Linked DNA regions of Rattus norvegicus. The protein of the gene in region 3 purifies or fractionates together with the protein of the main gene of each other region. This does not show direct contact. Links are inferred from orthologs where the notes say so. Each region holds a gene or a part of one and is shown on either strand. Other genes may lie near its edges.

What was found.
Region 1: the proteins of Wrap73 (region 3) and Obi1 purify together in Homo sapiens (affinity purification with mass spectrometry; 3 studies listed by BioGRID and IntAct, counting the BioPlex papers as one, with this or other methods). This does not show direct contact. The link is inferred for Rattus norvegicus from reciprocal best matches to the Homo sapiens genes WRAP73 and OBI1.
Region 2: the proteins of Wrap73 (region 3) and Ssx2ip purify together in Homo sapiens (co-immunoprecipitation; 4 studies listed by BioGRID and IntAct, counting the BioPlex papers as one, with this or other methods). This does not show direct contact. The link is inferred for Rattus norvegicus from reciprocal best matches to the Homo sapiens genes WRAP73 and SSX2IP.
Region 4: the proteins of Wrap73 (region 3) and Cep135 purify together in Homo sapiens (co-immunoprecipitation; 6 studies listed by BioGRID and IntAct, counting the BioPlex papers as one, with this or other methods). This does not show direct contact. The link is inferred for Rattus norvegicus from reciprocal best matches to the Homo sapiens genes WRAP73 and CEP135.

The regions. Positions count from the first base shown.
Region 1 is NC_086033.1:87,685,208-87,688,937, reverse strand, and holds part of Obi1 (ORC ubiquitin ligase 1), read left to right. Parts: intron 1-2,163; coding exon 2,164-3,700; 3' UTR 3,701-3,730. UniProt on the Homo sapiens protein: E3 ubiquitin ligase essential for DNA replication origin activation during S phase.
Region 2 is NC_086020.1:237,957,130-237,961,474, reverse strand, and holds the start of Ssx2ip (afadin- and alpha-actinin-binding protein), read right to left. Parts: upstream 3,012-4,345; 5' UTR 2,903-3,011; exon of another isoform or gene 2,289-2,902; intron 1,960-2,288; 5' UTR 1,793-1,959; intron 1-1,792. UniProt on the Homo sapiens protein: Belongs to an adhesion system, which plays a role in the organization of homotypic, interneuronal and heterotypic cell-cell adherens junctions (AJs).
Region 3 is NC_086023.1:170,001,371-170,004,586, forward strand, and holds the end of Wrap73 (WD repeat-containing protein WRAP73), read left to right. Parts: intron 1-1,115; coding exon 1,116-1,241; intron 1,242-1,970; coding exon 1,971-2,162; intron 2,163-2,410; coding exon 2,411-2,556; 3' UTR 2,557-2,701; downstream 2,702-3,216.
Region 4 is NC_086032.1:31,904,980-31,908,709, forward strand, and holds part of Cep135 (centrosomal protein of 135 kDa), read right to left. Parts: coding exon 3,685-3,730; intron 3,269-3,684; coding exon 3,213-3,268; intron 2,527-3,212; coding exon 2,358-2,526; intron 1,079-2,357; coding exon 968-1,078; intron 460-967; coding exon 274-459; intron 1-273. UniProt on the Homo sapiens protein: Centrosomal microtubule-binding protein involved in centriole biogenesis. Acts as a scaffolding protein during early centriole biogenesis.

The DNA.
Region 1 (3,730 bases), on a different chromosome or scaffold from region 3:
AGAGCTCTCTGCCTAAGTGTGAGGGTCCGAGGAAGGAAGGACTTCTGACACACATGACATCTCTGCCTGGGCACAGACGCTGATCTCGGAAGATAGGAGGACCATGGGGCCCTCAGTCTATCCACATGCTCTGCTTGAGTTTCAGTTGAGAGACCCTTTCTCAAGCAATAAGACAGAAAGTGAGAGAGGACACCCAATTGTCATTCTTTGGCTTATGCACAGCATACATACATGTCTATACCACACACACACACACACACACACACACAAATTTGGTAGCCTCTGATGTGCTGTCTGGAAGCAGTATTTGATTTTAAACCATTTAGTCTTTTTTTTCATGTGAAGATACCTGTGTTATAAAGTCTGTAAAGTAAATGTAAGGCTGTCACTTTTGCTCTTTGCATTAAATAAATATGCTACACAGTTTTCCCATTTAAAACATGCAGGTTACTTGATTATACCAGAGTGGTTCCAATCAGGAACTCACAAATACGTTTGCAGAATGCCCTCCCATCTTTGTCCACATTTCTAAAGTTCTCTTGAAGAACTATGGCTTTGCTACCAACTATATTTAGAAGCCAAACATTTTTTTTTTAACCAAGAAAAACTCTGACATTGCTTAACCAAATTCTTGTAGTAGCAAACTTTGTCTTACGATGACGAGGTTTGTCCCTGTGGCTTTTGTCCTGCAGTGCGGGAGCTGAAGGCAGTGTGCTTTGGGACTTGAGTTAATTGCAGTGAGGGGGTCAATATTCAGCAGTTGTATCTTTTAGAGCCCTTCCTACCCTGAGATGTGATGATTCTGTATTTACCTTTGCTCTTGTCTGCTTCTGTCGGGAGCAAGAGATCATACGAGTGCTATGCTGGGGAGAAGTTGGGCTAGGGGTTGAGGAGGTGGCGCACTGAGTGGCTCTCTAGGACCCACAGTTGACTGTACAGGGTACTGTTCCTGACAACTTCTTGTACTCCTTCACACAATTTACTGCTGATACATTTTCTTAGTTTTAATTATTTTTGTAATTAAGAAAGGGAAGAAAAAGAATAGTTTTTAAAAAAGCTTTCCTTCTCAAATAGCTTTCTGCACACAGACAGCTCTCCAATTCTTCTCAATCAGTTAGTATGGAAGTTACCAAGAAAATAACTAGGGCTCTGAGGGAGTTTGAAGAAGTAAAGGGATTTTTCATGGTGTCCTATGAAAATAGTTTCCTATGAGAATTCTCACTCATCATAGAATTAATGAACTGGGATAGTCTTAGTAAGTCTGTGCCTCCAGCCCCAGATGCATTCCCCACCTGTACTAGCCGCTCAAAAATTGTTTTCTCAACTGAACCCAGCACCCACACTTGACAGAAGAATGGGAAAGGGATAGTCCCAGGTAACAAGTGCATTTTTGATGTTCTTTCTCGTTACTCTCAAATCTACCCCTTCAGAAAGTATAAAAAATGTTTTTATGCGTAGTATGTTGGAACCACAAGCACTGACTTCGTATTTCAAAGTTGGAAGAAATGAGATTGATGTCCCACACAGTTGTAAAATACCGAAAATAGGAGAGCTGGAGTGAATTAGAGCCCAGTGTTGAGAAAGGCCAAGAGAAAGCTTCATATCAGCAGCGACTGTAATTGAAAGGCTCCAAATAAGTATTTAAAACCTCCCCTCCTGAGACGTCTGGATTTCTGAATTTCAAATTGACATTTTATGTTTGACAAGGTGACATTGTATAAGAAATGTATTGTAAAACACTGCTGTACGATAGGAAAATGATTGAATGTAAATATTTCAAGATGTGGACCACTGTTCAAATGTTATCATAAATCTTCGCCATTGTTTTAGGGGATAACTCTTCATGCATATGTGAGCTGGATTGATAGCTAGCTCTTGGAGGGGAAATCATCAGCGGGTTTCTGCCTTTGTCTCAGACATTGGTCTGATTTCACTACTAAAACGTCTGACTAGTTTGTCTCTATTGTGTGCTTATTATTACTTCTTATTAGGATAGTCAATTTTTGAAGGTACTACACTGGACTTGCCTTTGTCCTACTCAGTAAGTGTTCTGAAATCTCACGTACATTACTGAAACCGTCACTATTATGTGGGTGGGGGTCACTGTTATGTGGGAGGGGGACAGCCTGAGCTATATCATTAACCTCCCTCCATTCTTTCCAGGTTTGGAAGGTTTACAGTTGCTGCTCTTCAGTCCAAAGTAGAACAGTATGAACGTGAAACCAATCGCCTCAAGAAAGCTCTAGAACGAAGCGATAAATACATAGAGGAACTGGAGTCTCAGGTAGCACAGCTGAGGCACTCGGAGGAGACAGAGGAAGGCATGGGTGCCCTGTGCCAGAGGGCGCCCTCTGCAGATGGCAAGGGGCCCAAAGGCAGCGATGACGTTGCAGCATCCAAGAATCCGAGTGAAGGTGCTGGAAAGCAGGCTGGCTCAGCCAATTCAGCCTCTCACCTGGCCACACCCTCGAGCAGCAGACTAGCTGACACCAGTTCTGCCAGACAGGAGAGCACCAGCAGGACTGAACCAAACTGTCTCCAAAACAAAGACAGATACCCCAAGCCCACAGAAGCACAGCTGGGTGCGAGAGAGACACCGATGGACACTTATTTGGAGCGACAGTGGGGCAGCAAGCCAAGCGACTGCGCTCCTTACAAGGAGGAAGAGCTTTATGGTCTCCAGGCTTCCTGCACTCCCTTGTCGCTCAGCTGCCTTCAGCTCAACACTCCAGAAAACAGGGAGAACCCTGTGATCAAAGCAGGTGGTTCCAAAAAGCATGCAAACCATCTCAGAAAACTGGTATTTGATGATTTCTGTGATTCTCCAAACACCTGTAATAACAATTCTTCAGAGGACGATAGAAGTGGAAATGAGAAGAAATCAGACTGCTTTGCTTCCTCAAAGACAGAGTTTTGGGATTGTTGCTCCACAAGCTATGCCCAGAGCTTAGAGTTTGATGGTTCAGAGGGGAATACAATTGCAAATCCTGTTGGGGAAGTACCTTCAAAGTTGAGTGAGAAGTCAGGATTCTGCTTGTCCAAGAGACTGAGTTGTATTCGCTCCCTGGAAATGAACCGGACAAGGACCTCCAGCGAGGCCTCCATGGATGCTGCTTATCTTGACAAAATCTCTGAGCTGGATTCCATGATGTCAGAGTCTGACAACAGCAAGAGCCCTTGCAATAACGGTTTCAAATCAGTGGAGTCAGAGGGGTCCTCAAAGTCACCTCAAGGCAGGGAGTTTCTTGAGGAACCTGACAAGTTACAAGAAGGAGCTAAACTGAGTCTTCCCAAAAATGCCCTCGAAGCTGATGGGTTAGAAGGTGGGAGTGAGTGGAAACCCTCCTCTTTCTTTCTCCTCTCTCCATCTGACCATGAAATGAGTGAAGATTTTTCTCTCCACACTACTTCTCATTCGGGAGCTAGTGAAGTCAAATCACAAAACTGTTTGTTTCAGACAGAGTTTTCCCAGGGTGTTCAGCTGTTAAGCAGTTCCCAAGGATTATTCGAGGATCAGAGGTTTGGGTCGTCTTTATTTAAGATGTCCTCAGATATGCAGAGTCTTCCCGGCCCCCTTCAGTCTCCGTGGTCTGCCGCCTTCGTGTCTGAGAAGAGGAGCAAGAATGGGAACCAGTCCGCAAAGCGAAAGATACAGAGCAGCCTCTCCAACGCCAGCCCATCCAAGGCCACCAAAAGCTGACTCACCAGGGACATAGCCTTGTAGGGTGGG
Region 2 (4,345 bases), on a different chromosome or scaffold from region 3:
GTGCCTGACTAGGCCTGACTAATCACTAACATATCACATAGATAGCAGGTGTTCCAAATGCTCACTATTTCTGTGTATTACCAGGGCACATGTGTGTAGCCAGCACAACTGATCACATCAGGAAGTAGGTCATAGTATTCGCATCCCTCCTCCATTACAAACAGGACAAGTCCAGTGCTGATGGATGGAGTATCTGACTAGGGAGACTGAGGAAGGAGAAGCATGCAGCCGCACAACCTCAGGACTGTAGTCAGTCTCTTCAGTTTCCATTAAGACTTGCTATTGATCCCAGAGTCTCCTCTCTGAATCCCACACTGCTCCCACCCCAGATTTTTGGACCTCCCATCCCTCAGGGCCTGCCCTGGGCTGGGACTGGATTCCATGGTGGCTGCATCTTCATCACCTTTGGCTCTCCAGCCCTGGCACAGAGGACCCGCTTGAGCAGCCACTGCTGCACTGTTAAGGCTCCTGTCAGCTTCAGTTAAGCCTGGGGAAAGCTTTCAGGTCTTATCTAGACCATCAAGGTCCAGAGCCCATAGACTGTGCAAATTACTAACTTGGGCAGACATACTCTACATCAGAAGCAATATAATCCCCAACAAAACCGTGTGGATATTCCTTATTGGTCAAGGGTCACAGCACTGTTATTAATGCTTGTCACTAACGCAGCAGCCACAAGGACACCAACCACCTGTAACCGGCACCTGCTTGGCTGCTCGCACCAGTTGGTGAGCGCCTGTCAGGACACAGCTGAGATGCCTTCTTTGCTAAGGCCCTCCCACATTTGCATTCTCCCCTTCTCCACACAACACCAACCCACCCCACCCCCCAGAACAATATTCAGAGCAACACATCTTTTTATCCTTAGGCCTGGCAGTTGGCAGCTGAGTGTCTGATAATAAATGTTTACTGAAAGAATAAATTTATTAACATACAGTGAATCGCTCCTACACTACACAAAATACTGGACCAGCATCAAACCGTATAAATCTAGGTTTTCCCATTACTAATAACGGATGGTGTACTGTCTCATCCTAGAAGCTCATGAGTCTAAGTAAGCTGTATGCTCATAAGCACCTAACCATAATTAAAGACACAGAACACTCACACAGCCTCTTGTTATGAACAATTGGGTAAGCCAGCAAGGTAAGTTCACAGCTAGTGTAAAAGATACAGGAAGCTATCACTAAAATTCGCTCTTGAAACTGAGCCTAGAAATACGGGGCTATAAGTCCAGCTACTGGGAGGCTGAGGCAGGAGTTCAAAGACTGCTTGGGCAAGCTAGTAACAAGGCAACCTTGCCTCAAAATAAAGGCACACTGGGTTTCAGCAACAGAACACTTGCCTTGCATGTCCATGGCCCTGGTCTGGTTCCCCAGGGACTGTGTGAGGGCATTCAGAATGAGAGGGAGCTTGTTTTTAAGTAGGATGTGTGTGTTGTTCTACTAGGTCTGGAACTCCTAGGCTCAAGCTGTCCTCACCTCAGTCTCCTGGTAGCTGGAGTAAAAGGTTGGGGCAGCCACAGTTCTAGGCAAGCTTGCTTGCTCTCTTGCGCGCTCTCTCTCTCTCTCTCTCTCTCTCTACCTCCCTCCCTGTCCACCTCCCCTCCCTCCAGCCACCCCCTCTAGCTGAATGCTGAGTGAGGGCACATTCAGTATATCCTAACCGGTTTGGGCCAACAAGCTGGTTTGTCCACTTTTAAGAGAGGCCAAGTACATTAATTTGACTGGGCTGGGTTTGAGGTCTCAGGGACAGCAGGAACAGTTAACTTTTCCATGTCCTGTACACCTGCCTGAGCAAGTCGAGGATGCTATGGACTTAACAGGTCTTGTCACAAGGCTCAATGTGTCATGGAGTAAGCTTCACGTTTCATCCTGGAGTGACCCAGCTTCTGCAGTTATCTCCAAGCTGCTTCAGCCTGGTTACTTAATCCCTGGGCCTATTATCTTCCCTGTACAGCTGGAGAACAAGAAGGAAAGGAAGGGTGTAAAATGACAGGCTGTAGGGGCCCCAGCAGTCACCAGAAAAACGCCCTGGTTTGAATTCTATCCATTCCTAATCCTCCTCTCAGAGAATCGTTTTTTGTATGAGGAACTTTCATGCACACCAGGCAGGACCAAGTGTCGACAGGGATGGCAGCTTGCCTTGTTTAGTTTGAATAAACTACGCTTCCTGGGCCCACAAGCTCTTGGGGAGTAAGGAGATTGGATGGATTAAGTTTTGCTGGCTGGAGCGACCATTTCGAATTTTATCCAGCCTCGTAAATGTGTGTCACGTCATATACGGACCTTTCCGTTCGAGATCAAATTATGGACTAGAAAGATTTCCTTCCACGGATTGCGGGCTCCACGGCAGCACTATTTCCAGCTGACTCCAGGCCTGGACTCTATTCCGAATGGAAGCAAACCTTAAATCCAGGAGGCTCTCATCCTTGGACTCCACCTTTCATACAGTCTAGAAGGAACTCCCAGTTCTCACAACTGCATCAGCGTTGCCGGTTATGGATCTGATACACTGTGGGGGTTAATGAAAAGATTCCTCTACTGGTGCTGATGGGGAATTTTTTGGCAAGTTTTATTTCCTGGGCCCAGGTGACTTGCATAACCCAGCGACCTGCACTAGGAGAAATTACGTGCTGACCAGACAGAGCTCACCATTCACTCACTGTGCACCACTGGAAAAATCGAGGCCAAATAATTTCTCCAGCAAGTCTACCCCTGCGATGATGTAAGTTCTTCCCCTAAACGTGGGGCTGGACCACGATGAAGCACCCACCTACGGCGGACCTCACTCGCTAAGTCCTACGGCAGCCTCTGAGGGATCGCCGAGCCCACGCGGGCCGAAGGGACCCCGCGCATGCCCCCGCCGAATCCCGCAAGGGCGCGGGGTCCCCAGCACCTACCTCACACTTCCCGCTGCAGGCGGCTGGCAGCAACGCTCTCCAACCGCTGCAACGGCCGCGACGAGCCCGCCCAGTGCCGGCCCGGGTGCATGCGCCCACGTCCAGCCCGGCGCCCTCCCCGGCTGCGCGTCACAATCCCGCCGCTCACCGTCACGGCACCGGGAGCGGCTCACGCCTCCCGTAGCCCGCGGGCCCGCACCCGCGGCGGCACGCAGCGGTTCCGCGCAGCCTCCAGCCCGCCGGGTCCGCCCGGCCCGCCTCTCGCCGCTTTCCTCCGCGGGCGCCCATCCCACCCCGCCCTGCGCTGGCGCCGCCCATTGGCTCCGCCGGTTGCCAGGCGACGAACAACCGCGGCCCGCATTGGTCCAGCGAGGACTAGCCTACGACAACCCCAGCCGCTCTCCCCCGCGCAGCTGCGGCCACCGCACCTGTTACACCCGGGTTCACCAGGCCGCCGCTCCCCGCCCCTAGCTCTCCGCGGGGACAAGAGGAGGGTCCTAGCCGCTTTAGAGCCCGGCCTCCGAGGCGACCCTGAACCCCAACGCTCCCAAGGAGAACCGGGTGCGCTCCCCAGATCGGAGAGACACCAACGGGCATCCAGAATTGGGTCAGGCACTGGAGAAGGAAGGTCAAGTGGCCTCGGGAATCAACACACCAATGGCACAAAAATCAGTGGAAAACCAGAGCCGGGGTAGTGGGCAAGAAACCCCGAGTTCAGGCCGCAGGACTGCACACAGCGTGCGTGAGGTTGCAGGTCTGTGAACCAGCAGAACTGAAGTTCAAGGTCATTGGGAGCTCGAGGCTAGCCTGGGCTAGTAAAGCTCGAGTAGTGAATAAAATTAAGCAAAGAAAGGAACCTAGGGAGGAGACAGCTGGAAAGGGAAATGAAGAAACAACAGTACTTGTGAACTAGAAGTTGATGGAAAAACTCCCTAGGCCCACTCACTGAGTGCAAAGAAAATGTATGACAGCTGCAATTGGCCAGATCCACCTACCTCCCTACTATCTCTACCAAAAGTTCCTCCAGAAAGGAAAATGGAGAATCCATAGTAAAGGGCGGGGTGGTGGAGTTCTAGCGAGGTGTTTACTCGAGGAGAAAAAGAAGTTTGGGGTTTTCTAGCGAGGTGTTTACTCGAGGAGAAAAAAGTTTGGGGTTAAGTGGCTCCTGTTAACAATTTGAGACCAAAACAGCATAAAAGGAAAACAAGGAATACCTCACTGCCACAGAAGAACGAGAGAGAAGAACTACACATACCCTCAATGCTGAGAAGTGGATCAGAGTGCAGACATGAGCGTTAGAAGAGGAGGGAGACAGATTAGATGCTGAACACAGGTAGCAAGGACAGACACATCATTACAAAAATGCTTTGGAGAGCAGCGCTAGTGAGAATTACGGCCAGTGATTGACTTGCTAAGTCAGACCATTAATGGGGTGTGGTTGCT
Region 3 (3,216 bases):
AGATCCCAGGTGCTCTCCTGTGTGCAGCGTAGAGATCCCAGGTGCTCTCCTGTGTGCAGCGTAGAGATCCCAGGTGCTCTCCTGTGTGCAGCGTAGAGATCACAGGTGCTCTCCTGTGCGCAGCAGAGAGATCTCAGATGCTCTCCTGTGTGCAGCGTAGAGATCTCAGGTGTTCTCCTGTGTGCAGTGTAGAGATCCCAGGTGCTCTCCTGTGTGCAGCGTAGAGATCTCAGGTGCTCTCCTGTGTGCAGCGTAGAGATCCCAGGTGTTCTCCTGTGTGCAGCGTAGAGATCCCAGGTGTTCTCCTGTGTGCAGCGGAGAGATCCCAGGTGCTCTCCTGTGTGCAGCGTAGAGATCTCAGGTGCTCTCCTGTGTGCAGCGGAGAGATCTCAGGTGCTCTCCTGTGTGCAGCATAAAGATCCCAGGTGCTCTCCTGTGTGCAGCGTAGAGATCACAGGTGTTCTCCTGTGTGCAGCGTAGAGATCACAGGTGTTCTCCTGTGTGCAGTGTAGAGATCTCAGGTGCTCTCCTGTGTGCAGCGGAGAGATCTCAGGTGTTCTCCTGTGTGCAGCGTAGAGATCCTCCTGTGTGCAGCGTAGAGATCACAGGTGCTCTCTTGGGAAGCCTGCCTTCCCTCCCTGCTCTGTAGTCTCTGAGGGCGTGCCTGCTTGGAGGGTGGCAGGCAGCCAGGGTTTTGGTTGCTCACAGTGCCATGTACTTACTTAAGCATCTGTTGGTTGATAGTCCCTGACTCCCAGCTGGAAAAGGGGGACCATCTGTGCCCCGAGATGCTGGAAGCGGCTAGAACGGCCAGATGTCCAAGCAGCTGGGAGTAGCTCAGACAGCAGACCTGAGCAGGTTTATACCCTTCCTTGGGAGCTCCTGACTGCACTCTTATCCCCACTTGGGGCCCTGAAGGCCCTGGAACTGTTGTCCCCTAGGGACGTGTGACTAAACCTCTTAACAACAGCTGTGCTCTTCAGCCTTCCAGCCGGCAAACCGTTCTTTGCATGCATCTCGGCAGGCAGGCAGCCTGTACTCCTTTCCTCTCTCTCTGCCCTCTCCCCTTGACCCGTGCCCTCAGCATGTCCTCCTCCTCCCTGTCGGTGTTGCAGATGAGATCGCCTCAGGACCAGTTTCCTTGCAGACTCTGAAGCCGGTAGCTGACAGAGCGAACCCCAGGATGGGTGTAGGGATGCTGGCTTTCAGCTCAGACAGCTACTTCCTGGCATCAAGAAATGGTCAGTGTGACACTCATAGGCAGGGTCCGCTGTTCACAGCCCCTTGACACCAAGAGTAGAGATAATGGAGAAACAGCTCGGGGCAGCTGTGTGCTCTTCTCCCTGATTTTCTGTGGAAATAGACATTCTGCACAGCATTGCCTGGCTGCCTGACTGCCCCCTCCTGCACACCTACCTCACTGTGCAGGAACAGAGGGCCAGCACTGACCTCTATGGTTCTGGATTTATTTGCATTTTGGGGGGTGCGTGCCTTTTTGATAGTTTGTCTTTTTTATTTACTTTATATCCTGACCACAGCGCCCCCTCCTTCCTCTCCTCCCAGTCCCACCCTTACAAGTCCTTCCCACCATTGTCCCCTCTCACTCTCCTCAGAGGACGACTCCCCACCCCCACCCTTGGTTACCACCCCAGCAAGACCTAGGCACATCCTCTCCCACTGAGGCCCAACTAAACCCAGGTAGGGGAAGGGGATCCAGTGGCACCAGCTGGACCTAGGCCCCCTACATGTAGCACACGTGCAGCTTGGTCTTCATGTAGATCCCCTAACAAGTGGAGTGGGGGGGCTGTCTTGTTTGCACTTTTTACATCTACAGATGTAAAAACCACAGGAAAAAGAAGGGTTGTGGCCTTGGGCGGCCTTTCCTTTGTTCTGGGTGCTGGTCCCAGAGAACAGCAGGGTTTGCTTCAGAGGCCAGCACTCACATGTGTCTTCTTTCTGCTTCCTTGCAGACAATGTCCCCAATGCTGTCTGGATCTGGGACATTCAGAAGCTGAAGCTGTTTGTGGTCCTAGAGCATATGTCTCCAGTGCGCTCATTTCAGTGGGACCCACGGCAACCAAGGCTGGCCATCTGCACAGGAGGAAGCAAGGTGTACCTGTGGTCCCCAGCAGGCTGTGTGTCGGTGCAGGTACCCGGGGAAGGTGAGCATAAGCCAGCACATGGTGGTCCAGCATATGCTGGCCTCAGGTTGATCTGCCATGTCATGCATTTGTGAAAGGTGCCCCTCCATATCTTGCAGGGCCTTGCCTAGAGTGTCCCTGACAGGAACCTACACCCTAAGCTTTCCTGGCTTTGTCTTCAGCCCTGGGGTTACCAGACTCCTCCCTCATCCACAGGCGCCCTCCCCACAAGTCCTACTTCCTAACCCTCTGGCCACCTGTCTCTCTAGGTGACTTTCCAGTGCTTGGACTGTGCTGGCATTTAAGTGGGGATTCCTTGGCCCTCCTTGGTAAGGATCACTTCTGTCTTTGCTTCCTGGAGACCAAGGAGAGGGGCACAGCCTATGGACAACGGGATGGCATGCCTAGGACCTGAAGGGAAACTGAGGCAGCAGACTCTGCAGACCCCCATATGAGGAACAGCTGTACAGGCTCTCTGGACAGGATGGACTATTCTGCCCAATTTTCTGTAAATATGTATAAAGTTATCATGTAAAATAGGTATTTGTTAATCCCTGGAACAGTGGTGGTCCTTTTCTTCAAGGCCTTAGCTCAGGGGTCCAAGGTCTGTCTTGGGAGGATGGAGTATCCTGAAGTAATGACAGCAACCTGCCTTATCATCCTTTGTTGTTCCCGAGCCGCTTCCAGTCAGTATGCTGTGGGACAGGGGTGGACGGTCAGCCCTCCTGCAGCTGCAAGGCCCCAACGTCTGCACCTGTCCCCATGTGAGCTGTGAATCCCACAACAGTTGGACAGGTCTCTCTGGCCTTGCATGCAAGTTCTGCAGGGAGGCCTGGGTCCCTGCCAGGAAGAGTGGAAGTGCTCAGCCTACCCAACATGCCTCTATCTCTAACAAGTGCCTTGAAAGCAGACAGACCAGCATGTCCACACTGGTGGCCATCTGAGTTTCTGTAAGGAGGACTGAGCTAGCAAGGGTCCACAGCCAGCCAGGTGCAGCCTCAGGCCTCAAGACAGTCTTTGGCACACCTGTTTTTGTGACAATAACTTCAAAAAGGAGCAACTCCATTTGGTTTTA
Region 4 (3,730 bases), on a different chromosome or scaffold from region 3:
GACGCACCTGATACTGGGTGGGTGTGGGGAACATGGAAGTCCTCCAGAGGGTGAAGATTGGCACACTGTAAGACTGTACTTAACGCACAGGACCACACACTTAACGAGTGGTGACATGGCCGCCTGTCTCTACCATTGTGAAAAGGAACGGGGCACCCTCTAGAGTGTGACAGTAGCAGGGTGTTAGCTCTGAGCTGGGGTCAGCCTCACTGTGTGTCGTGCCCCTCATGTGTCCATTCTGAGTGGCATCTTTCCTGGACAGCACCGCCTTACCTCCTGGATCTCCTTCTCCAGGAGCTCCACCCGCTCTCGCAGGTGCCTTCTCTCTGTATCAATAGACAGCAGCTCTAGGCGGACTGAGCTGTTCTCCCCCTCCGCTTGCTGAGCTTTGATCTCCCAGTCCTCAGCACGGTTGTGAAGCATCTGGAATCTATCTAGCAAGTCTTTGTTTTCTTTTTCCTGTTTTAAGAACAATTACATTATTTCTATGGCAGTATCGTCAATGGAACAGCTATCTATATCACACATGCACAGCCCCACACACTCAGACACACACATGCACAGACACACACACATGCACACACATGCACATACATGCACACACCTGTATACAGACACACACACGTGCACACATACGTGCATATACACACAGACACACACATCCACGAGTGTACACACAGAGACACACACACGCACATACATGCACACACAGACACACACACCGCATACACGTGTACACACACACGTGCACACACACACACTGGGAGCTACTTGAATTCAGGAAACATCAGCACATGTATAGATACTATGCTACTATGCTAAGATCTATGGAGAAATATAAAGTTAGTAGGAAGGACTTCTACTTTTAAATATCTAATATCCAACCTTAAATGTCCAACATTTAATGCTGGAGGCAGAATTAAAGACACAAAAGCTGGTCTCAAATGCCAGCTGAACAGTTTTTCACCTTCGCGGCCATTAGGCTCTCCCATCGTGACACCTCAGTGATATACTTGTGAACCCTGCTCTTCATCTCTTCTTTCTCTTGCACTGCTGCTTCCAGTTCCAGTGAGATCTCCTGTAAGTCAGCAGAGCAAAGAGAGCCAATGTCAGCCTGCAGTCATGTGCACACAGTGCCTTTGGAACTGAAGAAAAAAATGTGGGGAAGAAGAGCCTCTTACTGGGTTATTTTTCCATGGCTAGCCTGGTGTGTGTGTGTGTGTGTGTGTGTGTGTGTGTGTGTGTGTGTGTGTGTGTGTGTGTGCATTGAAAGCCTATGTATATAGGTGCACAAGCTGATGTGCAGACAGAATAGAGGATGCCAGTTATCGCTCTCTGCCATCCTCCCCCTATTCTCCTGAGACAGATCTTTCACTGAAAGTAAAGCTCCCCATTTCAGTGAGGCTGGCTGGCCAACTCTGAGGTCACAGGAAGCCATGCCAGCCCTTTTGCATGGGTGTTGGGGATTTGAACTCAGAACATCTCACTTTCATTTCACAGCAAGCACCCTTACTCACTGAGCCATCGCCCCAGCCCTGATCTAAACTTTTTTTTAGCAAACTTTGTGATAAAACTCCCATGACAGTTCTGACCTTGTATTTGAACTTAAATCAGGGCCAGTAGTTGGTATTAAAAAACTGATATAACTATAATATGGTTGATATTGACTAATACTGAAAGTAATTTTTATATTACATAAAAGAAATCATCAGTCTCCACAGCATAATCTTGTAATAAACCAGTATAGACAAAACCTTACAATATCTGCCCTTTAAAATATACCTTTGTTTGTTTACAGATCCATCTCTAAGACAATAGAAGGAAGCACAAATTACTAAAGCCTGTCACGGTCCTTCATATCTTTTAAGAAGAGGTGCCCTAAGAGTGAGTGATGCTGTGCCCTACCCAGTCCTGTGACAATACCGTCTATCCCAACAAAAACCATGCTTCCTAGTAGCAAACACTAAATGCTATCAGGCCTGATGACATACCTTCCATCCCCACACTTGAGAGGCGACAGAAGAAGACCAGAGTCAGAATCCCTTGGCTACACAGGGAGTTCAAGGGCTACATGTGACCCTGTGTCTAAACAAAGAAACAAGCAAACAAACAAACAAGCCAAGTCCTAGCAGGGAGGTTCAACTCCAGATGGAAAAGGAGACTGTAGCTGCGCTGACTAGACCGCTGCGCTGGCTGTTTTCTGAGAACTACCTTTGCTAACGCCAACAGACACCATTCCCCTCAAGGAGTTAGCCTGTTTGCATTCACTCCTGTTGCATTTTGGAAGAATGAATTTAGAAGTTTAATACTTAGCAAAACGTAATAAGTTCATGAAAAATCTCTGCCTGCTTTCATACCTGGTTTTCTCTCGCCATTGTGGCCAGGTCATCTTGTAACCTTCTATTTTCCTTATAAGAGATCTCTCTAGATTTCCCAACATCGTCAAGTTCCTTGTGAGTTGCATCAAGCTGGCGACGGAGGCTGTTTATCTCTCGGTCTCGATTAGTCAAAGTTTCTTGTAGTTGGCTGTGAAAGAGTGGTGGGGTAGCAATAAACTGTTATGGAAAACTCCAGGTCACTTGAAGTAAGACTGCAGTCTCAATATGTGTGCGAGTACAGGAGAGCCTAAGTGCTGCCTTTGGACATGGCTGAAAATACTCAGGTACTTTAGATTCCTATCAACCGTTATATACAAATAGAGCCACAAAATAAATATTATTATTATACAAGTTAAGCAAACGTAACATTTTCAGGTGTTAGAAAATACAATATAAAGCCACATTAAATATTTAGTGTTTACATTGCCTTTATTATATAAAACATAAAGGCACATAGAATAAATGATTAGTGACTTTTCTTTTTAGATAGCTTAAAATCTTTTTGGAGACCAGACACAAATTATGAAAAATTTAAGATAATCAATATAGGTTTAATTGAGGAGCAAATGTAAGAGCTGGCCATTAAAACTATCTAAGTTGAGCTATTGGGACTTGAACAGGTGACTATGTAAGCATGGAGAGCAAGTGGGTAAAGCAGGAAGGCAATGCCATCCAACAGCAGCAGGGAGCAAGTCAGAGCAGGACTGAGGAAGCAAGGCAGCCACAGGCAAAGCCGGAACTTCACAGGAAAGCAGTCCTGGCTCCAGGCTCTGCTAAGTAGGAAGGCCGCATTTGCTGGAGATTTCTCATGAACACCATTCATCGGTTACTCACTTCAGTGACGATTCACACTCCGAGACTGTGACCTTCAACTGGGTAATAGCTTTTTCCTGGAGAAATTACAGAAACAAAAGATTTTTTAGTCATTCATTCAGAATCATCTTCAGTTAAATTTGCATAATCAACTAAATTTAGGTAAGTGCAATTGCATAAATTACACATAAACGCAGCCTCTAAATAAACACAGTTCTATGCCCATCTATGTGTCTCATCTTGGCATCTCTAACCACTGAAGAGCTTTAGTGGCTTCCTCAAAGTGTGCTTTAATGAGACCAAATCACATTCTAGAAACAGACAAAATCCCAACATAAGGATTCCGATTACTAGGCTAGAAGGAAATCAAGGTGTGTCACAGACAGAGCCGTGGGTCTCAGGAGCTCGTCAAGGGCTGTAAGAACTGTGTATTTCGAGTGGAGAGTAACAGGCTCTCCTGCTGAGAGGCTGAGAACATGTGGCAGATACATACTTTACTAATGAGGCTGTCTTGCAGGCTGGCGATCTTTTCCGTCTTC